5 linked regions of the Macaca mulatta genome follow. The protein of the gene in region 3 purifies or fractionates together with the protein of the main gene of each other region. This does not show direct contact. Links are inferred from orthologs where the notes say so. Each region holds a gene or a part of one and is shown on either strand. Other genes may lie near its edges.

Region 1 (3,332 bases), about 63 Mb from region 3:
TACATGCATATATATGTGTGTATACACACACGGACAAATGCGTATTTGATTTACAAAAATTAAAGTATTCATTCTTTTTAGATCTACAAACTTTACAAACTTAACTCTTTCTAGAGGTCTAGAACTGAATGATTACCAATTTAGGTCTGGGGGCTCAAAAAAACAAAATGTGATGTCAAGAAAAAGTGAAAGATTGTCTCCCATGAAAGTGACAAGAGATGAAAACATGCTGAAAGAGCCTAAATGGACATGATGGAGATATGGATGTGGATTAAAACTGAGAGTGTTGGGATATAAGGATATAATACTGATTTATGAAGGTGAATAGTCAAATGTCAGTGCAGAATCTGAACTGCAGGGGAAATAAGGGGCCTTGGTGGCTAAGAAGTGAGGAGGAGAGAAAGAGGTGGTACCAGGGGAAGTAGCACAGAGGAAGAGGCAATACTACCCGAGACTAGATGCGGACCGTCTCTGGCAACCAGGAAAAGGCAAATACAAAGAGAGGTGAGTGACAATGCCTGGTGTGTCTGGGGTCAGGGAACACTAGCAGGCACTAGCAGGTGGCTGCGGCAAGGCCGCGGGTCAAAGTGGTAACTGGGGATCTGAGTTCGGCAGTGACGCGCGTCCCTCACGTGACCAGGAGCCTATGTCTGCCCAAGTCCCTCTCGTCCCGGTCTTTTTTTGCCTGTCCACCATCTCCCTATTACCTTTGGTCGAGAGGGAAAGCAGAAGGAAGTAAGTTCCCTCTACCCTCTTAAATCGGTGTGAGTGTCGGCGCTGCCTAGTAACCCGGGGAATGGGGTTGACAGAATCGGGATGGCGGAGTCCAGGCCTTTCCCTACGCTCCAGCCCCGCCTCCCGCGCCCATATTTCTGTGCAAAATATGGTGGTCTTGGGGGCGGGGTGGGAAGGCGAGTGCTTCCCCCGTCCCTCGGGAGGGAGGTACAGACACTTGGAAATAGTTTCTAAGAATGCTTCGCTTCCACTTCCCATCTGAAAAGAAATGGCAAGCTTTGCGGGGTGGGGAGGTGCGGGCACGGAGGACGAAGCTTGAAGCAGGGTCTGAGACTAGAGGAGAACCCGAGGGGTGGGGGGCGTGCAGGCAGTGGCTGGTGCCCAGAAAGTGGGGGATGGGGGGTGTCAGTCAGTCCGTCCCTCCTCCCCACTCCCCGCCCCCTACCCTGTCTTGCGTCTGTGTGCAGGTCTGCTGGTCACAGCGGGGCACCTCGAGGAGAGGACGACTAGAAGCACACGGCCCGGAAAGGTCCAGGTCAGGGAAGGGGTACGCAGTGGACCGGGACTGGGGCGCGAGGGTGGACGCCGAAAGGCATGGAGTCTGCAGGCCGCACTGTCCCGCCAGTCACTGCGGGCGAGGCCTGTAGCAAAGCCTGCTGGGAAAATGGTGGGCTTTCGGGAAGGAGGGGGCGACCGGGAAGCGGCGGAGTCGGGAGAGCCGGAGAGCCTCTGGGAAAGCGCAAGGTTGAGGGCCTGGGCCCCGAATCAGGAAAAGGCAGGTATTGGAACCCACGGTTTGGGTGTTAGTCCAGTCACTTAGTATTCTGACTCTATTCTGCCTTTCTTGTCTCCTAAGAATAACTGTGCTTGAAGAAGAAAATTCCCAACATGGACAAACCACGCAAAGAAAATGAAGAAGAGCCGCAGAGCGCGCCCAAGACCGATGAGGAGAGGCCTCCGGTGGAGCACTCTCCCGAAAAGCAGTCCCTCGAGGAGCAGTCTTCGGAGGAGCAGTCCTCGGAGGAGGAGTTCTTTCCTGAGGAGCTCCTGCCTGAGCTCCTGCCTGAGATGCTTCTCTCGGAGGAGCGCCCTCCGCAGGAGGGCCTTTCCAGGAAGGACCTGTTTGAGGGGCGCCCTCCCATGGAGCAGCCTCCTTGTGGAGTAGGAAAACATAAGCTTGAAGAAGGAAGCTTTAAAGAAAGGTTGGCTCGTTCTCGCCCGCAATTTAGAGGGGACATACATGGCAGAAATTTAAGCAATGAGGAGATGATACAGGCAGCAGATGAGCTAGAAGAGATGAAAAGAGTAAGAAACAAACTGATGATAATGCATTGGAAGGCAAAACGGAGCCGTCCTTATCCTATTTAATGTGTTCGCCCTTTAATTCTGTTTTGCCTGCTAATAGTATTGCCATTGCCACCTGGACTTTCTGTGCGTTTTCTTAATGCCTTTTCCCATATTCTGAATTTTAACTTTTTGTGAGGATTTATTTTAGATGTTTAGCTTGTAACTCGCTTAAAGTTGGGGTTTCCCCCTAAAATTTACAAGTTTCCCTCTTTCAATCATAAGTCCTATACATTTGCATGAAAGATGTACATTATATATTGTGAAACGAAAAAAGCAATTTTCAAATGGTATATATTGTATCCCATTTTTGTAAAAAATGTATATTTATATATTAATATGCAAAGAAAAAACAAAGTATATACTTCAAAGGTATAACAGTGGTTGTGTGGTAAGATAATAGGTGATTTTTAAAAATTTTGCTTTATCTGAATTTCTCATTTTTTCAAGACAAACATTTTACTTGTGTTGCAAAAATATATAATGAAAAAATCACCCAATTTTGAAAAAAACTGTCAATCAGCTTATAAAGACAATGTGGCACTTAATAAATACTTGTCAGAACTTAAAAAAAAAGTGAATCCTATGTTTTTTTCTGAATCTCTTAGGCACAAATATAAGCCAGATATTGATTATATTTAATAGTCATTTTGTTCTCATTTAAATAGGAATAATACTTGCTTTACAGTGCTGCTGTGGGACCGGATGAGAAAAAGATTGTGTGAGCTGTGTTTGGGGTCGTTATTCCACCTGCACAGGCAGGACCCCAACCCCTATAGATTCCCTGCAGACATAGGCAGGGTACCCAAAGGAGATCTCACTTGTGCTCACAAACAATTCCGGTGAGATTCCAAGTGAGTGCCACATTCTATTCATGTCCTGCTGTACTCTCAGATTCTTACAGTATCTGCTAGGCACTGCTGCTCCTTCTCCTGGGTCCTGATCCTTCCACTGGCTCTCATCCCTGCTGACATGCTGGAGTGCTTAAGGTACAAAGCCTCACTGATTGCTCTGGAGTCCCTGTTGGGCCCAAGCTGAATTGTATCTCCTGCAGATATATGAATGCCCTTTTTCCAGCTTTGATATTGCACTTAGCTAGGAGGCTACCATCCCAATGCTGCTTAGACCTCAATGTCTTTAAAAAATGCTTAGTAAAATAGTTCTTCCTTTTTTTTTTTTTTTTTTTTTTTCCATTTAGAACCTTCCTCTTCTCCATTGGACTCAAACATGAGTCCACCTTTTCTCCACCTGAC
Region 2 (4,428 bases), on a different chromosome or scaffold from region 3:
AGGGTTTGTCCTTTCCCCTCTGGAAAGCTCTTCTTTGCCACCCGTGAGACCCAAGCCTTTGTAAAGGTGGCCATCTGTGCAGCATTGCAGGCGTTGGTCACTGTGGGGTTGGGGACACTTTGGTGGCTCTATATTGAGATGTGGGGTACTCCTCCACTGTCCCTGGGCGGCAGCCGTTCCTCCTGAGAATGAGCTGGTCCCTGTCAGTGTCTGCCCAGGGAGCAGATAGCAGCCGGGGAACCAGATAGAGGAGAAGGCAGCCTCCCCACCTTTTGGGGCTCCTCAGACCACGGGAGCTCCAAAGGCTGAGGTGGCAGGACGTCCGCCCGGGACTGGGATGAGAGGACTGAGGCGCTTGTGCCAAGCTCTGGCCCCTGGGCAGGGGTGTTGTGGGGGCCACACAGAACAGAAAGCAAGGAGAGCAGCCCGGGGTACCGCGGGGCTAAAGAGGGGGAGGGGCTGTGGCCCCCCTGGCAGGTGAGAGAGGGGCACGGAGAAGGTGGCCTGGTGGCGCAGGTGAGCGCCGTATGGCAGCCTCCTGAAGGAGTGGAGCCATCTGTCCCTGCTGACACTAGCTGTCACCTGGAAGCCTTTCTCACCCAAGCCCACAGGGGAAGGGGAAGGGCTTGGGCACCCACATTTTTCGATCCTGAGGAAGCATATACCTCACTGTTTCAGGGAAGCTGGTGACCTTTCAAAATTATCCTTTGATCCAGGAAAATCCTCATGAACTTGATCAAGTGTCTAAAGCCCTCTCCATTCAGCCCCAAATTTCCGGGCGAGTCATGCTTTGAGGCTAGTGTTCTCTGCTCAACGGACACTAAATGCCGGCCTACTCCCCTCTCCCCAGGAAAAGAAACTGCTGGAAGACAGGATAGCTGAGTTCACCACCAACCTCACGGAAGAGGAGGAGAAATCTAAGAGCCTCGCCAAGCTCAAGAACAAGCATGAGGCAATGATCACCGACTTGGAAGGTGAGAGGGTGACGGGCAGGAGGTGATGGGCAGGGGCTGGCGGGCAGGGGCTGGCCTGTCTGACCGGAACACGGAGGCCTCCTCAGCTCACGGGTGAGCCTGGGCCACACTACAGCACTGGCTGCTGCCCTTCAGACCTGAGGTCACAGGTCGAGGGGAGCCGTGTCTGGTGCCTGCGGGAGCCTGAGCCTCCAGGCCCCTGTTGTTCTGTGGCTAGTTGCCCCCCTGCATGAAGTGTGTTTAAAGGAGAGCTTTGGCGCTGCCCTGTTGTCGTGTGCCGTGGGTTTTGGAAGCTTCTGAGACTGCCTAGGAGGCTCTGGGTTTGGCCCACAGGACTCACTAGCTCTGTCACTGACTAGCTGGCTCATCTTACACCTGTGACTTAAGCTCCATGAGCTTTAGTTTTACCTAAAAAGGGGACACAGTGCTAGGGTACTGTGAAAATTTCATTAAATACATGTGAACACGTATGTACCGTAAAGTCCTTGACAGTTACTGCGGAAGCTCATTTGGGGCAGGGTGACAGATCCTGCCTTGTCTCTGTGTGCCCCGGGGATCTGTGGCAGGGAGGGGCGCTGGGGTAGAACACAGGTCCGTGGTTGTCTGAGGACCCCCGGCCCTGCCCCTTGAGAGGAGTTGACAACTGGGGGAACAGGAGAACCCTGACTATTGTGGGAACTCTGAGCTCATACCCAGGGGAGGGAGGCCACAGCCTGACTGCCGGGAGGATTTTCCCCGGCTTGGTGTCACAGCCTTGTCCAGCCCCCTCACATCTGCAGGGGATGAGGTGAGTCAGGTCCAGCGGAAGAGAGGTCTGGACACTAGAGAGATCTCTTAGCCCACAGATACCCTGCCTCACCTGGGAGGAGCGCGGAAGACTTGGTCATCCAGGAGGTCTAGGGGTGGCGCCCACCAGGTGGACAGACATGAAAGGTTGACACTAATAAGCGCTAACACAGACACGGAGCCGTCAGAGCACACACACGCTGCTGCTGGGACTGCAGACTGGTAGACGGCGTTAGAGAACGATCCAGCGGTCCTAGTGAGGTTGAAGCTTGGCATGCTGGTGACCCGGCCGTTCCATCCATCACTCAGCCGTCTGCGCTGAGAGTGAGCAGGATGCTTGCAGCAGCGTTGTGTATCAGAGTGTGCGATGAACACAGCCCCATGCCTGCCAGCTGCAGGACGGGTACATAAATAAGTTGTGGTGTATTCACATCATGGAATGCTAGATAAATGTCCATACACATCTATTCCAGCAAAACTTCACGGGCTACATCTCAAGACCATGGGATGGGGTGGCAAAGGCATGGCAGGGAATAAACATCACCAGCCAGGCACTGTTCTAGGTGCTTTTTAAGATAGTAACTCATTGGCCCCTCACACCATCCTAATGAAGTAGGCCGTCTCCTTTTGTTTGTTATTCAGACGAGGTATAGAAAGTAGCTTTCCCTAGTGACATCACAGAGTTATAAAGCTAGACACCGAGCCCTGACTCTGTGATTCCAACTGTGGAATTCACACAAGGCAGTTCCATCTTAAAAGTTGAGATTCGCACAAAATTGAACATGTTTTTTAGAGATACAGACATGGTACAACCTTCAAGGGAACCAAGGGGGTTACGAACACCAGCTTTAGGAGAGTACTTAACTCCTGGCAGGGAAGGACGAGGGGTGAGTTGGAGAGAGACACGCCAGGGGCTGGCAGTTTGCGGTGATGTCCTCTTCCTGCGTGCAGGAGTTGGGTGTGAGTGTCTGTGTATTTGTGATGCTTTCAGCCTGACACACGTTTCATAACGAGTGCTCGGTATTTTGTATAAGTAATTGACACGGAGACAGAACCCACGGCACTGAGGGCTATGTGGGCTCCCCGCTCCTTGCAGAGCGCCTCCGCAGGGAGGAGAAGCAGCGACAGGAGCTGGAGAAGACCCGCCGGAAGCTGGAGGGAGACTCCACGGACCTCAGCGACCAGATCGCCGAGCTCCAGGCGCAGATTGCGGAGCTCAAGATGCAGCTGGCCAAGAAAGAGGAGGAGCTCCAGGCCGCCCTGGCCAGGTGAGGACCCCGCCTGAGGCCAGGTGGCCTGGGCCAGCCCTTTCTGCTTGCTGCTGGGCCTAGTTCTCTGCACCAGAGAGCTGTGAGCATTCTTTCCACTGTTGTCTTAGAAGAGCCATTTATTTCATAGCAAAGCAGTTCTTGTGCACTCAGGGCACAGTGAGGGGCCTCATTTGTCTTTTGTTTATTTGTTTGTAATTTGAAAAAAAGTCATCCACAACTCTATCACCCACCTACAATAGTCCTTTGCTAATTTCTTGCTATAGGTACACTTAAAAAAAAAAGACTTGGCCAGGCATGTTGGCTCATGTCTGTGATCCCAGCACTTTGGGAGGCCAAGCTGGATGGATCACTTGAGGTCAGGAGTTCGAGACCAGCCTGGCCAACATGGTGAAGCCCCCATCCCTACCAAAAATATAAAAAATTCGCCAGGGTGGTGGCACACGACTGTAATCTCAGCTACTCAGGAGCCTGAGGCAGGAGAATCCCTTGAACCCAGGAGGCAGAGGTTGCAGTCAGCCAAGATCGCGCCACTGCACCCCAGCCTAGGTGACAGAGCGAGACTCTGTTTTTAAAAAAAAAAAAAAAAAAAAGAAAGCGACTTTATTTTGTAGAGTAGTTTTAGATTCACAGCAGGAATCAGCAGAAGTTTCTCCATCTTCCGCTGCCCCACTCACGCACCGCTTCCCCAGCTGCCAACACCCCCCAGTGCAGTGGTGTGTTTGTTCTAATTGGTGAACCTACGTTGACTCCTCACAACCATCTAAAGTCCATAGCACTTTCATATTTTTACTGAGTTACAGTCATCCTGTGGTGTAATATTTTATTTCCTTTTCTTCCCATTTAACAAATCATTTGACTTTTTTTTTTTTTTTTTTTTTTTTTTTGAGACAGAGTCTCGCTCTGTCGCCCAGGCTGGAGTGCAGTGGCGCAATCTCGGCTCACTGCAAACTCTGCCTCCCGGGTTCACGCCATTCTCCTGCCTCAGCCTCCAGAGTAGCTGGGACTACAGGCGCCCGCCACCACTCCCGGCTAATTTTTTTGTGTTTCTAGTAGAGACGGGGTTTTGCAGTGTTAGCCAGGATGGTCTCGATCTCCTGACCTCGTGATCTGCCCGCCTCGGCCTCCCAAAGTGCTGGGATTACAGGTGTGAGCCACCGCGCCCGGCCACAAATCATTTGACTTTTAAAAATATTTGAAGCAGTGAATCTTACTTTGGAAATTGAAAGGATTCCTCTATGAGGTTTTCTAGTTCTCAGAGGGGTGTTGCCCTTCAGTCTGGTTGCCTCAGATGTTGTTTCTACTGAGAGCCACCCTAAGTGCCATGATTGTGACCACCAGAGGCAGCTTTGGCTGCCGCACCTCTCTCAGGCCTGTCCCGCAAACTCTGCTCCTTGGAG
Region 3 (5,140 bases):
AATATTAATACTGATACAAGATATATGATTTGGGGTTAGTCCATGATTTCAAAATGCTTTATAAATACATATATCCTGGCCACTTCAGCAAACCCCTATAAAATGGAAAATGGACAGCAATAAAGAACCTTGAGATGCTTTGCTCTTATCTAAATAGAGAAGCATTAACAAAGTGGAGTTTAGCAAAAATGCTTCATGATAATACCCATGACAGCAGAGACAAACGGGCTTCAATACTGAACCAACACTTGTGTGGTAATTTTTTTAATGAGGTGAAATTCACATAACATTAACCATCTTAAAGTGAACAATTCAGTGGCATTTAGAACATTCACAGTTGTATAACCACAACCTCTCCCTAGTTCCAAAATAGTTCATCATCCCAAAAGAAAATCCAGTACTGGTGGGGTAATTTTAAAGGGTATTGTCAAGGATGACAGGATGTAATGTCCTATCTACCAGTGACACAATCACAAGGCCACAAAGGTAGAAAGAGGCAAGGACCAAAGCCTCAAGGCCCTTTTGAACATCTTCAAATGGGTTATAAAACATTGTGGTTATTTTGTTTATTCTCAGGATGAAATGAGGCTTTTTCTTGTAGGAAAGGTATGACGTAATGGCAGAAAAACACGGCTTGGGTTTGTATTCCCGATCTGGAAAATCTCAACTCATCTCCCCAGTAACAGAGATACGCATTTCACTGGTGTGGTTATTAAAGAACTCTGTAGTGAGTAAACCTCACTCGAAAAAGCCCTAAGGTTAGATGTGTTTGAGGAACAGCAAGAGTCCAATATGGCCGGCCTGGATGGAGACAGAGAGGGAGTGCGTAATCAGAAGAGAGATCTGGGAAGACATCAGAATGCAAGCTGGAGACCAGCTTCATAAAGTCTTACGATTCACTGTAAGGATTTTAGCATCTACGTTGCAAGAGATGGGAAGCTGTTAGGGGTATTTTGAGGAATGGTTGGACATGATACATGTTTTAAAAACAATTATTGCGTACGTAAAGAGGAAAACGGTACTTTTACAGTTGAGAAACCTGGCCAACACTACCATAACCAAGTGATCAAGGTTAACATCACCAATGATGTCATGTGGATACCATGTATCACCTGATAGGAAGAGAAGGGCTCACAGTATGCATCCAGTAGAATTTTATATATATATTCCATATATGTATAAAGTGAAAGCTTAGACATTACATACTACTTAGGGATGCATACAGTTGTGGTCAAACATCAAAGAAAAGGAAGAGACTGTTAACTCAAAATTCAGGATAACAGTTTCCCATGGAGCAAGGAGGGGAATTTCCATCTGGGAGGGGCAAAGAAGGATTTCTCAAGACAGTGTTCTGAATCTTAACCTGGATGGTGAATTCACACGTTTTTATTTAATTATTATTTAATTTTTAAACTTTGAAATAGATTGAGAAAAATGGCAAAAATAATACAGAGAATTCCCACATATCCCACATCCAGATCCTCCAAATCTAATATTTTACCCATTTGCTCAATCGTTGTTTCTTTACATGCATTCTTTTTTGGTATTTTTATTTATTTAAAAATGGACAAAAATGGTATATATTTATGGTGTACAGCATGAAGTTCTGACTTATGTATACATTGTGGAATGACTAAGTCAAGGCAATTAACACATCCATTACGTCACATACTTATCAATTTTCTGGGGGGTGGTAGAACATGTAAAATCTCTCAGCAATTTTCAAGTATACAATGAATTTATTAACTATAGTTGTACAATAGATCTGAACTTATTCTTCTTGTCTAACTGAAATGTTGTATCCTTTGACCAACATCTCCCTAATTTCCCCTTTCCCCTCACCATATATAAATTTATATATGCTAATTTTTCAGGCATTTGAGAATAAACTGCTTACACAATGAGTTCTTATCCCTAAATTTTTCAGCATTTCCTATAAACAAGGGTATTATTTTTCATGCCACAATGATCACAATTAAGAAATTAGTAGTACTAATATCTACCCACTTTAATAAAATTTCACCGATGTTTCCATTGCCTTTTACAGTAAAAGAGACAAAAATAATCTTATGATAAAAAATTGATTTTTAAAATAATTTTTTTTTCTGTTCCAGGATCCAATCGAGGATCACATGTTGCATTTAGTTATCATGACTCGTTAAATCGCATTAATTCCTTCAATTTAGAACAGTTCTTCAGCCTTTGTCTTTCACGACCCTGACATTTTTGAAGAGTGTAGCCGTTTATTTTAAAAGGATGTCCGTCAATCTGGGCTGCGTAAATGTTTTATACAATCTTCTTAGGTCTTACGTATTTCACAATTAAAAAACCAGATGCAACTCGGCCAGAAATAAAATGAACCCAGAAGCAGTAAATCTCAAGAAGCACTGTTTAGCAAGAAATCAGTAAAACAAGCCGATTTATCAAAATTATCGGTTTTTAAAAAAACGACTTTTTCTTGATTCTAAAACCAAAACAGTACCAAGACAGAAAATCAATTGAACATGGAAGGCCCCTCCCGTGCTAATCACTTGCACGTTCTCTCGACTCGGGAAGGCTTCTGCCAGAATAAAAAACCTCTGCGCATTATAAACTTTGCTTATTCGCAGGCGCCATTTTCTGCCTTATAGGCACCACCTCCCCTCCACTGTCGTCCCTCGGCCTCAGAACACGCCCCTCGGCTCACGTCACCAACCTAACCTCGTTCCCAGGCTCCAAGCTCCTCCCCCACGCAGGTCCCCGCTCCCTCCCTCGGACCGTTCGGCTCCATCCCGCTCTTCTGCTGACGTCACAAAGCTCGCCTCGTTCCCAGCCACGCCAGAGCAATCGGAGACCGCTCCCCGCCCCCAAAAGTTGCATTACGCAGCGCAGGCCGCGCCCCCGCCTTACATCGCAGAACCCACCTTCCTCCCAGGTTCCTACGCAGTTTCACTACGCAGGCCCGGCCCCACCTCCAGGGCTGAAACCGGTCTCATCACAACAAACCCCATTTTGTTCTCAGGCGTCAGACTGCACCACACAGGCCCCGCCCCTTTTCCAGACGTTGCGATTCATTCAAAGACACTTCCCCGCCCCTTTAGCCCGCTGTCCCGTCGGCCACTCCCCCGCCCCCGCACCCCGCAGCAGCTTTCCCGCCGCCCTCGGCCGCCGAATCTCCAGCGGTTGTCAATGCCCCCACTGTCCCCTCTGCCGAGGCTTCACCGCAGCCCAGCCTCACCAGCTTTCGCCGGCCCGCAGTGGACGTTCTCGCCCACTCTCGCCGTTTTCTATCTGGCGCCACTGGCTGTCTAGGCCTGGCAGCTCCTCGCGCTGTGGCTCTCTATCCTCAGCCACCGCCACCGCCGCCGCCACAGCCGCCGCAGCAGCAGCTGGATTTGCTGCGACCGTCGCCATCGCTGTCCGTTCTCCTCTACAGCCAACGCAGCTGTGCGAGATTGGAAGACGCCCCTCAACAGCCACTTCCGGATTCTGGTCCCGGAAACGGAAGCAGAGCCCCCCAAACAGTCGCGGGGCTACTGCCATATTGGAAATGGCCCCGCGCACAGACGCGTCGAAGGGTTAGGTGGGGTAAAATCTTCAGTGGGAACCAAGAAAGACAAAAGTGCCTTGTGGGGTTCCAACGCCCTGTATGGGCACAGGTGGCATGGAAAGTGGAGGCTGAGGTTCCCGAGGTGGGCGAGGTGGGCGAGGACTCCTACCCTGGGAGCAGCGTTTGTTAGCCTGATCAGAATGCCCTTTATTGTACTACCCTTAACCATCAAAACCCAATGCAAAAGAGGTTTCCACCTCCAGAGACCCACCTAGGCCTGCGGGTCATTGTTTCTCTTCCTGAACTAGATTTATTCACTAGACAAGGTGTTGAAGGCAAGTTAGCCCCAGGCCCTATGTTTGTTGGAGTCATAGCAATCATAACTAAACTAGCTGTCCGCCCAGTTTAAGTGCTTTGTTGGACTAAAATAGTAGCCTCAGGCAGCAGGTACTGTCCTTATCACCCATGGGTAACAACTGGACGCTGAGTACCAGAAATGTCCCTCAGCTAATAAGTGATGGAGCTGCAGTTTAAACTTGAGAAATCTCGTTCCAGAGCTGTGACCTTAAACACCAGGTCAAACATTCTCCAACCGTGTGGTCCCAGCCTGTCTACCGGTCCAAAACTCCTCTTGGGGGTTCACAAAATGAAAACTATTTTCACAATACTTTTTCACTCTCATTCTCTCAGGGGTGTACAGTGTAATTATCTAGAGGCTTCTGAATCCAGAGGCTATATGACATAAACAAGAACTCTTTTGAATGTCTTAAACTTTTAAGAACATAAAGGAATCCCGAGGCCCAGAGTTTGAGAAGTCTTGCACTAGGCCAGGGTCTCTCAACCTCAGCACTGTCATTTCTTTGTTGTGGGCATTGCAGGATGTGTAGCAGCATCCCTGGCCTCTACCTACTAGATACCAAGTAGTACCCCTCAGGACAACCAAGTGTTTCCAGACATTACCAAATGTCCTTTGGGGGAAAAATGTCTCTGATTGAGAACCACTGCACTAGGCTATGCTATTCTTTTCTCTGCCAGGGCTGCCAGCCCTGTTGGTGATGACTTTAATTTCGAACCTCCCTTCCCCCTCACAATCTTGTAATTTACCTATTTTCAGTTAACCTCTGCGGGGAAGGGATTGTGTCTTTATTACTCTGATTCCAGCCCCCAGCCCAGACCTGGCATAGATGAGGGGTCAGTTTTGTAAGCGCTGGGTGAGGTAAGGGAGCAGCCCTTTCACTTAAGGGTCCCCAAAGAAAGTGGCATTTGAGTTGAGTCAGACACATGGCAGATAGCTGCTCTTTAAGCCCAGTTGAATCTTGTCAGATTCTCTGAATTGATTCTCCCCATTATACCTCTGCAGACTCCCCCTCCCCATTTATCTGGGCAGCCAGGTAAATCCAAGAGACCTCCAGCCCTAGACCGTTTTTTCACCTTCCAGAGGCCAACCTCTGCCCACACCAGTGACCCTACCACTTCCCAGAGCAGTTGGGTGAAGTCTAATCCTTTTAAATCCACCCTGGCAATCCTGTCCCCCTTTGCAAGGCCCTCCTTTTCCCATCCTCCGTTGCTGCCAGAAGTGGCCATGTCATCTGATTCTAGCCAAGAAACGGC
Region 4 (4,885 bases), about 63 Mb from region 3:
CCTATGGAGACATGACGACTAAATGTAACCTGAATGGGATCCTGGAACAGAAAAAGGACATTAGGGGAAATCTGAATAAAGTACATACTTTACTTAATAATATATCTATCAATATTGGTTAACTGTGACAAATCCACCCTGCTAATGTAAGATGTTAATAATAGGGGACAGTGCATATGGGATACTCTGTACTCTTTGTAATAATTCTGTAGATCTAAAACCATCCTAAAAGTTTATTTTAAAAAAATACTGTAACGAAATAAAAAGCTACTCAAGAGCCAGGGGGAAAAATCACATAGGTAGATGGGTCTATTGAAATAGTAAAGCAGAGCTTAACAGAAATTTCCTGGAAGACAATTCGTAAGAAAAAAGGGTCAGCAGACTAGAGATTAACAAATGAGAATAGCACAGCATCTCGTCACTCAGCTTTTTCTCCTGGCTCAATCTCCACTATCTAAATCTGGTGGAAAACGGCTATATGCAAAAACACACACAAGTCAACAAAAAACATGGAAAGCAGTGTTTTGTAAAAACTTTATAAAATATCAAGGCCCAAGTGACAATTGGGTACTAACAACCTGAATTAGGATAACTCTATTGTAGGTAGAGACGGAATTCTCCACTTTTCTGTTGGGACATAGTGTTGCTTAGTCCATCATGGTCTCCAGCCCAGCAGCAGCAGCTACTGCCTTAGGAGGGTGCAGGATCCATGAGAAAGGGGCATACTACCTTTCAAGTATGGCATTACCCAGAAAGAGTGGCACCCATCTCTCAGCTGTCTGGACTTATTTCTGGGCACAGGTGAGACCTCCTTCAGCCCTCCCCAAGCGTCTGACTGGGTACTGGTTCTGCTAGTGCAAGGGGAGAGAGTAGGAGCCAGCCTAACACAGCTCACACACTCAATACCTCATTTGATCTTCTCCACATGTCTAGGCTAATTTTATCCCCGTTTCACAGATGTCAAGGCTGTCCCTTACAGCAATGGAGCTGTAATAACCATCGAGTTGACTCCTCCAGCTTCCAGTCCCAGAGGTAATGCAACTTTTACCCATCATTTTATGTCCTGACAACAAGAATTTTAAGTATATCCACTGTCTTTATAAGTTCACTGGGCAGTTCATTTGAATGCTTATTCAAATGAATGAAATTCAAATATTCACTGTTTTCCAATATTTTAACTTTTATTATTTTTATGATTAAGAAATCTGTTTTTAGGAGAAAAATGGACAGATGAACAAAAAAGTACAGAAAAAATCACGCACAGATAACCACTGTTAATCTTTTAGTTGACACAGCTTTCAGAATTGTTTTCTATACATAAATTACTAGGTATCTTTGTAGTTTTACAAAAATGTACTGATGCCATATGTTTGGTTCTGCAAGTTGTGTTTTTTAATTTTACAATGCACCATCAACATTCTTTCCATGTAACGGAGGAAAATTTGCTACTAAGAACACCGCGTTGCAGTTGGGTCAAAAGGCTGCTAGTAACAGGAGGGATGCCTAAAGTAAAGTACTACCGTAGGGGTAAAGCACATGGCCTGGTAAATGCCTGCCAGGGACACTACACATAAGGAATGTCTTCAATGTCCCTTCGTGGGGCCCTGCAGCCACCCCTGAATTCCCTTGGGCCTCTAGGGTAGAAGGGGTCCTGTAAATTTCTTTGCATCCACAAAAACGCCCCCAATTTCTGTTTGCTTTTTCTCTTCTCATCCTGCACCTTAGCCATATTGTCAAATTCTCTTATCATGTCCTCATTGCTGAAATTCATATCGTGTATGGCCTCTTTATACTCCTTGAGGTAATGAGCCAGCCCCTTATTAGTTTTTCTTTTGGCTTTCCTGGGTACATCACCCTCAGCTGGGCGCTTTCCTGCAGCCCTTGTTTCACTCCCTGGCTCTCCTTGACTCTCTGGCTTTCCCTCTATCCCTGGTTTTCCCTCTCTCTCTGATCCTCCCTCCATCTCTGACTCTCCCTCCCTCTCTGACTTTCCTTCTTCTTTTGCCTTTCCCTCACTCTCCGGCTTTCCTTTATCCTTTAACATTTCCTCATCTCCTGTTTTGCCCTTGTTTTCTGTCTTTCCCTCGTTTTCCAACTTCTTGTCTTCCAGAGTACAAGCTACTTCTGGCTTTCTCTCGTCCTGTGGCTGTTCTTCATTTTTCATCTTTCCTTGGTTTGAAGCCATGCCTTCATTTTCATTGTAGAGTTTTTCCATGTCGAGATTTCCCCTCCTTTTCGTGCCCTGGGGGATGGGGGTGGAGGGAAGAGGAGACAAAGAGGAGACATGGGAGACTGAGTGCGTGGGATGAAATGCAGGTCTGGATAGTACTTGCATCTCACCCCTGATGAGGGTTCCCCTGAGCTGGCGGGGCCTCCAAGAGGGCCTTCTGCCCACCACGTAGCCTGCCACTCCTCCCACACACGTGAGCCAGCCATTGCCTGGCAAGCCCTGTCACTTTCTCTGCAGTGGTTCAGCCTGGTAAGGTGTGTGTTAATGTGGGTGGGGGGATGGGCGGGGGCCCCAATTCGGCTCTGGCCGGGCCCTCCACACTCTCAACCCTTGTGGGCCCCTGTCCATGCAGCCCCCTACTTTCACGGACCTGCGGGGATTCTGGACAGGTTGCTCCTCTTTTTCAGGCTTCGCAGAGCGCTGGGAACAACAGACGCGCAGACCTGCGGACAGACAGGAGACAGGGGTAGGGGCTGCGCGCTCAGCGGGCTCACAGGGACTCGGTTCCCTTTCCTGAGTCCAGGCCCTTCTCATCCAACGTTTTCCTCCCCTACCTCCCCCGCACCCCAGCCGCCATTTCTTTCCAGGCCTCGGGCACCAAACCAGGATGCTTTCCAAACTAATTTTGGGTCTCTATGTCTTTCTTCCTCAGAGGCAACTCTCCTCCCCAGCCTCGCGGTCAACGTTTTTCTCTATGTACGGGAACGGCAGAGGGGGTTTACTTCCACTGTCTCACTACTGGGGCGTCCCCAGCCCACCATCTCCGGCTCCAAAATGGACGGAGGGCAGAAAAGAGGATGTGCCTGGAAAGCGAGCTTGGATACTTGGAGGTGCTCGCCTTCCTCACCCTCTGCCCACTGCCTACGTGCTCCCCCTCAGCCACCTTTAGCCGTTTTCCCACCGCCATCTCTGTCCACACTCGGGCCAGCTTCCCTCGACTCGACCCGACCCCACCCCCAGCCTTTCCCGGTACTGTACCCGTTCCCCTTCCGCCATTCCAGCATTCCGCTGGCAGCGTGGAAGGCCCGCACACTGACCTGGAGGAAGCTGGACCAAGAATTAGGAGCCCAGGAACTGGAGCAGACGGGACCCAGCCGCGGGGACAGAGGGCGGGCACTCGGACCGGTGCCCACATCTGCGCCCAGGCAGATCACGTGAATGCCGCAGCACAGGAGTTCCACCGCCGCACGCCCCACGCCCCGCCTCCTAGCCAGCCGCTTCCAGCTACCCACCACCTCTCTCCAGCAGGTACCCTCTCACCTCCCTGGACCCTTTTGTCCTTTTCTTCTTGTTAAGAAATTAATCAAAGAAGGAATTTTAATGAAAATCGCAAAGTTGTTTTTTTTTTTTTAATGAGTTGGGCGGTCCAGAGGAGGAGTCTTGATAATGTTGCTCTTAAATTCCACAGAAATAACGTAGACCCACCCGATAAAATCGTATAAATGTGAACTCAAGTACTGTATAAAGAATAGAATATCGACTTTAGAAAAAACTTAATAAAAATTTTCCAAAATAAATGAAATTGTCCCTTTTTCCTGACATGTACAAACATAAATTTTCAAATGAATAAAAAAAGTTATATTTGAAGCAAAATAAAAACGATTAATTTATCTTAAGTGAGAAACTGAATATACAGAGACAATGACCAGACCACATACGAAAATAGAACTGAGACCCACAACCGTTGCTGCAAGCAGCTCAAGAAGCCAAAGTATAGCATCTGCAGAAATGTTCAGGACTTTAATCAATTTGCTAGCCTTTCTGGCCTTTTTAATTTTTTTGACCTGATGACAAACAAGAAAAACCCAAATATGAACCCATACTCAATCACATAGGATGCTTGCCTCTAGTTGGCCTGCCTCTAGCTTCCTCACGTCAACAACATCCAATCAGAGCATACTTGAAGTCTTTGTGTTTTTGTTTTCCGCTATAAAGCTTTCCCACTCCCCTGCCTGTCTTTGAATCTCTGCCAGATTCAAATGATGGTGGCTTGACTTCCTTGCTATAAAAAAGCTGTGAATAAGTAGCACTTGTTTGTTCTCTTATGGGTAGTCTCCGTTTATCTCCACATAAGCTTTTGGTGTGGAAGGCGTTTAAATATAGTCACGTGCCACTTAATAATGGGGATATGTTCTGAGAAATGCATCAGGCAATTTCGTGGTGGTGCGAACATCGTAGAGTGTGGTTATACAAACCTATATGGTATAGCCTACTACACTCCTAGGCTGTATACTATAGCCTGTCGTATTCTATGCTGTCTGTTGTCGTTGGCCAATCGATATGCAGTGTGACTATATAACAAAGAGACAAATGCTGATAGATTAGATTACATGAAAATTTTTAACAGATTTGTTGAAGGACTGGGGACACATGCACCCTCCCCTGCTCTTATTGAATATATTGGTGAAATTTTTCTGAAGATCAACTTTGTAAATTATTTAAAAATAAAAATATTGGCCAGGCACGGTGGCTCACACCTGTAATCCCAGTGCTTTAGGAGGCTGAGGCGGGTGGATCACCTGAGGTCAGGAGTTCAAAACCAGCCTGACCAGAATGGTGAAACCCCCTCTCTACTAAAAATACCAAAACTAGCTGGGCGTGGTGGCGGGTGCCTATAATCCCAGCTATTTCATAGGCTGAGGCAGGAGAATTGCT
Region 5 (4,776 bases), about 62 Mb from region 3:
GGACTGAAGTATCACTGAGGTGTTACCCTATTGGGCGAGTATAACTCTAAAGTGAGGAAAGGGACTTTATCCACATTTTCGTAGGTGTCGTGGAATGGGGTCAGTAGGCTTGGCTCACTGGGGACTCCAGGGAAATCAACCGGACCTTGTTATCTTGAGAACTTCAGCCCATCAGCATCAATGGGAGCTTTAGGAGGGTGCAAGATTTATAAGAAGGAGCGCAGTGCCCAGTGGACATGACATTGTCTAAGAAAGGATGGCACCCACCTTTCAGTTTCCTAGACTTATTCCTGGATACAGGTAAGATTTACCCTAGTTCTCTTCCAAGTGTCTGAGGGGGTATTTTTTCTGCTAGAGCAGGGGAGAAGGTAGATGCCAACCCAACACATATATTCTCTACCTCATCCAACCCACTCAGCAGTTCTGAAAAGCGAAGTATTATCTCCATTTGACAAACAACAAGACTGTCCATTAGAGCAATGGATCTGTAATAACCCCAGGTTGACTTCTCCAGATGAGTCCCACAGGTAGGTAATGTGAATTTTACCTATCGTTTTAAGTTCTGACAACAAGAACTTTAAGTGTCTCTACTGAACTTCATAAGTTCACTGGACAGTTATTCTCTTTGTTTTTTACATACTGTGTTCTGATTTTTAAAAATATTTTATTATTTTTGTGAGAAAAGTAATTTGTGTTCTCTGGGAAAAGAAAGATTAGTAGAAAGAAAGAAAACAAAGAAATGAAATCACCTGCTAGCTCACAACTCAGAAAACCACTGTTAACCTTTCATGTATTTAACAAAAACAGACAGATTCTGCAGATGATATTACAAGCTGCTTTATTTTTCCATGAATCATGACGTCTCTGAAATGCACAGGTGTGAAAATCTGCTACTGAAACATAGAGCAAGCAAGCACTGGCAGGTGGGTCAAAAGGCTACTGGTAGCAGGAGGAACAACTAAAGCAAAGTATTACCATAAGGTTAAAACATATGGCCTGATAAATGCCTGCCAGGGACACTACACGTAAGGAATGTCTTCAGTGTCCCTTCGTGGGGCCCTGCAGCCACCCCTGAATTCCCTTGGACCCCTAGGATAGAAGGGGTCCTGTAAATTTCTTTGCATCCACAAAAACGCCCCCAATTTCTGTTTGCTTTTTCTCCTTTTATCCTCCACCCTAGCCATGTTGTCAAATTCTCTTATCATGTCCTCATTGCTGAAATTCATATCATGTATGGCTTCCTTATATTGCTTGAGGTACTGAGCCAGCCCCTTGTTTGTTTTTCTTTTGGCTTTCCTGGGTATATCATCCTCAGCTGGGCGCTTTCCTGCAGACCTCCTTTCACTTTCTGGCTCTCCCTCACTCTCTGGCTCTCTTTCACTGTCTGGCTCTCGTTCCCCCTCTGCCCTTCCCCCTCTCTCTGGCTTTCCCTCTCTCTCTGATCCTCCCTCCATCTCTGACTTTCCCTTCCTCTCTGACTTTCCTTCTCCTTTTGCCTTTCCTGCACTCTCTGGCTTTTCTTTATCCTTTAACGGTTCCTCATCTCCTGTCTTGCCCTTGTTTTCTGTCTTTCTCTCGTTTTCTAACGTCTTGTCTTCCAGAGTACAAGCTACTTCTGGCTTTCCCTCGTCCGGTGGCTGTTCTTCATTTTCTATCTTTCCTTGGTTCCAAAGCATTCCTTCATTTTCATTGAAGAATTTTTCCATGTCGAGATTTCCCCTCCTTTTCCTTTCCTGGGGGATGCGGGTTGAGGGAAGGGGAGACAAAGAGGAGACATGGGAGACTGAGGGCCTGGCGTGGAATGCAGGTCTGGATACTACTTGCATCTCACCCCTGGTGAGGGTTCCCCTAAGCTGACCGGACCTCCAAGAGGGCCTTCTGCCCACCACATAGCCTGCCACTCCTCCCACACACGTGAGCCAGCTGTTCCCTGACAGGCCCTGCCACCTTCTCTGCACTGGTTCAGCCTGGTAAAGTGTGTGTTCATGTGGGTGGGTGGAAGGGCAGGGGCCCCGATTCGGCCCTAGCTGGGTCCTTCACACTCTCAACCCTTGTGGGCCCCTGTCCATGCAGCCCCCTGCTTTCACGGACCTGCGGGGGATTCTGGACAGGTTGCTCCTCCTTTTCAGGCCTCTTAGAGCGCTGGGAACAACAGACGCGCAGACCTGCGGACAGATAGGAGACAGGGGCAGGGACTGCGCGCTCAGCGGGCTCACAGGGGACTCGGTTCCCTTTCCTGAGTCCAGGCCCTGTTCACCCAATGTTTTTCTCCCCTACATCCCCCGCACCCCAACCGCCATTTCTTTCCAGGCCTCGGGCACCAAACCAGGATGCTTTCCAAACTGCGTTTGTCTCTGTGTCCCCCTTCCCTGAGACAACCTGCCCCAGCGCCACCCCATTTTTGCGGAGATCAAGTGTTTCTATGGGCATAGATTGTGAGAAGGGATTATTTCTAGAATATGTCTACGTTTCACTGTCGCACTGCGGAGTCGCTACCCCCACCCCTCATTTCTAGCACTAAAAATGGATGGATGACTCAGTGCAAGGGGGCGTCGTGAAGGCGAGCCAGGCTCGCTTCGGGAGTTCTCCCTCCCCTGTCCCCACCCCGGTCCGCTCCGCAGGCATCCCCTTCCTCACCAATCTACAGGATTCCTTCTCCGCTCCCTCCCCAATCCTACTGCCAGCCCCCTCCACCCCTGTCCCAGGGGCCGCCGACAGCGCCCGCTTTCACACTGACCTGCGGGTACCCAGGACACGCCTGTGCTTCCTCCGGCTCGCGGAAGCCGGCTCGCTGCTCCCCAGCAGTCTGGGCAGCTCAGACAGCTTATTCTGCGCGGGCGCCGGGACCCGACCGCTGGGCTGGCTGGCGGGCTGGCGTGGGGGCTGGTGCCCACGTAGGCGTCCGACGGGTCACGTGAGCGCCGCGTCACTGGAGCTCGGCCCAGCTCTTGCCCGACACACCTCACCCTGGAGCTCGGCGCCCCCTCTTGCCTGACATACCTCATCTTCCATCCCTGAGGGACCGGAGGCTGGGGACTGTCGGAGTCTCGGTGCGTTTGTGTAGCAAAGTGGGGTCGCGGAGAAGAGGAGGAGGGGTGGCTTTCTGACCCCAGGTGCTTTACCTGACGCAGCTCACAGCATCCTCGCAAGGCATCTCTCTCTGATGCCCATTATCGCCAGGTGTGACAGCTGATCAAAGAGGGTACCCGACTTTGCCAAGAGCGCTCAGCCCCAGAACTCCACAGCCCACTTTCAATACTGGCTCTGCCTGACTCCAGAGCCCGGGGTAGTGACGCCTGCCAGGAAGCTGAGCTGCCACCTTGAGTGGCGGTGTTCCTGGGGTTCTGTCCTGGGCCTCCTCTCTCCTCAGTCCTCAAGTTGTCTCTCCCTGTGTGATCTCATTCATTTCCAGAAAGCACCGATGACTCCCAGATCTACATCTCCAGGCTATTCCCTTCTCCGTGTCTCATATCAACTTTGCCAACTCTCTATTGGACATCACCGCCCGAGAGTCCTTGAGGGACCTAAAAGCCCGTGTACCCCAAATTTATTTCACCAACTTCCTTCTTGCCATCTCCCATGGCCTCTCTGTGCACTTGAAACTTACCTTCCAACATTTGATCAGTTTTCATAGAGAGAGAATCTCAGACAGGTAGAAAAGAAAGCATTAAAACCTTTTAAATATGAATTTCAGATGCACAAATTCATCATAGTCCTTGGTTTACAAGACACCCTTATTATTGATCCCTGCTTGTCCCTCTTCCTTCCCTTTTCTTTCCTGTCCTGTTATGTCTTTCCCTGCCCATCCTTTGTCTTTTTTTCTTTCCTTTTCTTTCACATTTGTGAAGCTACCACCCACAAAAACTAAAAGTTACCAATATTTTAACTTCTACAGTGTAGTGACATGTATATGTATATATACACATATGTTTATTTATACACACATATATGTGTAGATGTATATTGTGTACATATATATGTGTATGTCGTGTGTTTTTTTGTGTGTGTAAATCTGGGCAACAACTATTTTGGTTTGCAAAATACCTTATCATGATTATATGATTATGAATTATGTATGTTACACAAACAATTCTGATATTTCTGCTACACATCTTCATTTAGTAAAACCTCGATCTTCCTACAATATTTTGCTCTATCAATATGTGTGTTTGTCATTATCACCACATAACCAACAGTACTGTCCTCAATGTTGAATTTTTTCCTGAATTATAGAGGCTAGGTGTTTCCATTTCCTCAGTATAAACTTTCATAAAATTATTATAATTATTCAAGAATTTGATGAAAATAATATCAAATCAGTTGAAAAGAACTGCTTTTCTGTTTTAATCATCTAATTATAGTGATTTTAAGCTATCTTTGGTAACTATTTGCTAAGTTATTTTGGTAATGGAGCCAAAGTATTAACAACTATTTCTCCTCTTTTAAAACATATACACAAAAATGTGGAATTCAAAATTAGTATCATTAAATTCAAAGAAATGTCATTTTATCTAAATTAAAAGATCTGTTCACAAAATGAGAAGTCAACACAACTTTTGCATTTGCGTGTAATAAATTGACACATTGTTCCTCAAGTAGTTACTACCTTTGGAAGAAGATATAATGACAGTTCTCTTGATGCATAATATATGTTGATTAAACATATTTTAAGTTAAATGTTTGTCATCCATTTTCTTAGAAAAGTAACCATTACTGAACATACCATTCACTAGAGACCTTTTGTTTCTTATTGCAGAATAAAAGTATCATTTCCTT

The links.
Region 1: the proteins of USP11 (region 3) and TCEAL1 purify together in Homo sapiens (affinity purification with mass spectrometry; 4 studies listed by BioGRID, counting the BioPlex papers as one, with this or other methods). This does not show direct contact. The link is inferred for Macaca mulatta from reciprocal best matches to the Homo sapiens genes USP11 and TCEAL1.
Region 2: the proteins of USP11 (region 3) and MYH9 purify together in Homo sapiens (affinity purification with mass spectrometry; 3 studies listed by BioGRID, with this or other methods). This does not show direct contact. The link is inferred for Macaca mulatta from reciprocal best matches to the Homo sapiens genes USP11 and MYH9.
Region 4: the proteins of USP11 (region 3) and TCEAL4 purify together in Homo sapiens (affinity purification with mass spectrometry; 3 studies listed by BioGRID, with this or other methods). This does not show direct contact. The link is inferred for Macaca mulatta from reciprocal best matches to the Homo sapiens genes USP11 and TCEAL4.
Region 5: the proteins of USP11 (region 3) and TCEAL2 purify together in Homo sapiens (affinity purification with mass spectrometry; 3 studies listed by BioGRID). This does not show direct contact. The link is inferred for Macaca mulatta from reciprocal best matches to the Homo sapiens genes USP11 and TCEAL2.

What each region holds. Positions count from the first base shown.
Region 1 is NC_133426.1:110,265,205-110,268,536, forward strand, and holds TCEAL1 (transcription elongation factor A protein-like 1), read left to right. Parts: upstream 1-1,623; coding exon 1,624-2,103; downstream 2,104-3,332.
Region 2 is NC_133415.1:15,265,416-15,269,843, forward strand, and holds part of MYH9 (myosin-9), read left to right. Parts: intron 1-850; coding exon 851-974; coding exon of another isoform or gene 975-996; intron 997-2,812; coding exon of another isoform or gene 2,813-2,856; coding exon 2,857-3,028; intron 3,029-4,428. UniProt on the Homo sapiens protein: Cellular myosin that appears to play a role in cytokinesis, cell shape, and specialized functions such as secretion and capping. Required for cortical actin clearance prior to oocyte exocytosis. Promotes cell motility in conjunction with S100A4.
Region 3 is NC_133426.1:47,263,260-47,268,399, reverse strand, and holds the start of USP11 (ubiquitin carboxyl-terminal hydrolase 11), read right to left. Parts: upstream 3,414-5,140; 5' UTR 3,394-3,413; coding exon 3,218-3,393; exon of another isoform or gene 2,904-3,217; intron 1-2,903.
Region 4 is NC_133426.1:110,221,910-110,226,794, reverse strand, and holds TCEAL4 (transcription elongation factor A protein-like 4), read right to left. Parts: upstream 3,339-4,885; 5' UTR 3,268-3,338; exon of another isoform or gene 3,034-3,267; 5' UTR 2,785-3,033; intron 2,697-2,784; exon of another isoform or gene 2,674-2,696; 5' UTR 2,601-2,673; exon of another isoform or gene 2,591-2,600; intron 2,243-2,590; 5' UTR 2,216-2,242; coding exon 1,565-2,215; 3' UTR 1,163-1,564; downstream 1-1,162. UniProt on the Homo sapiens protein: May be involved in transcriptional regulation.
Region 5 is NC_133426.1:108,873,199-108,877,974, reverse strand, and holds TCEAL2 (transcription elongation factor A protein-like 2), read right to left. Parts: upstream 2,889-4,776; 5' UTR 2,738-2,888; intron 2,166-2,737; 5' UTR 2,082-2,165; intron 1,734-2,081; 5' UTR 1,707-1,733; coding exon 1,020-1,706; 3' UTR 822-1,019; downstream 1-821. UniProt on the Homo sapiens protein: May be involved in transcriptional regulation.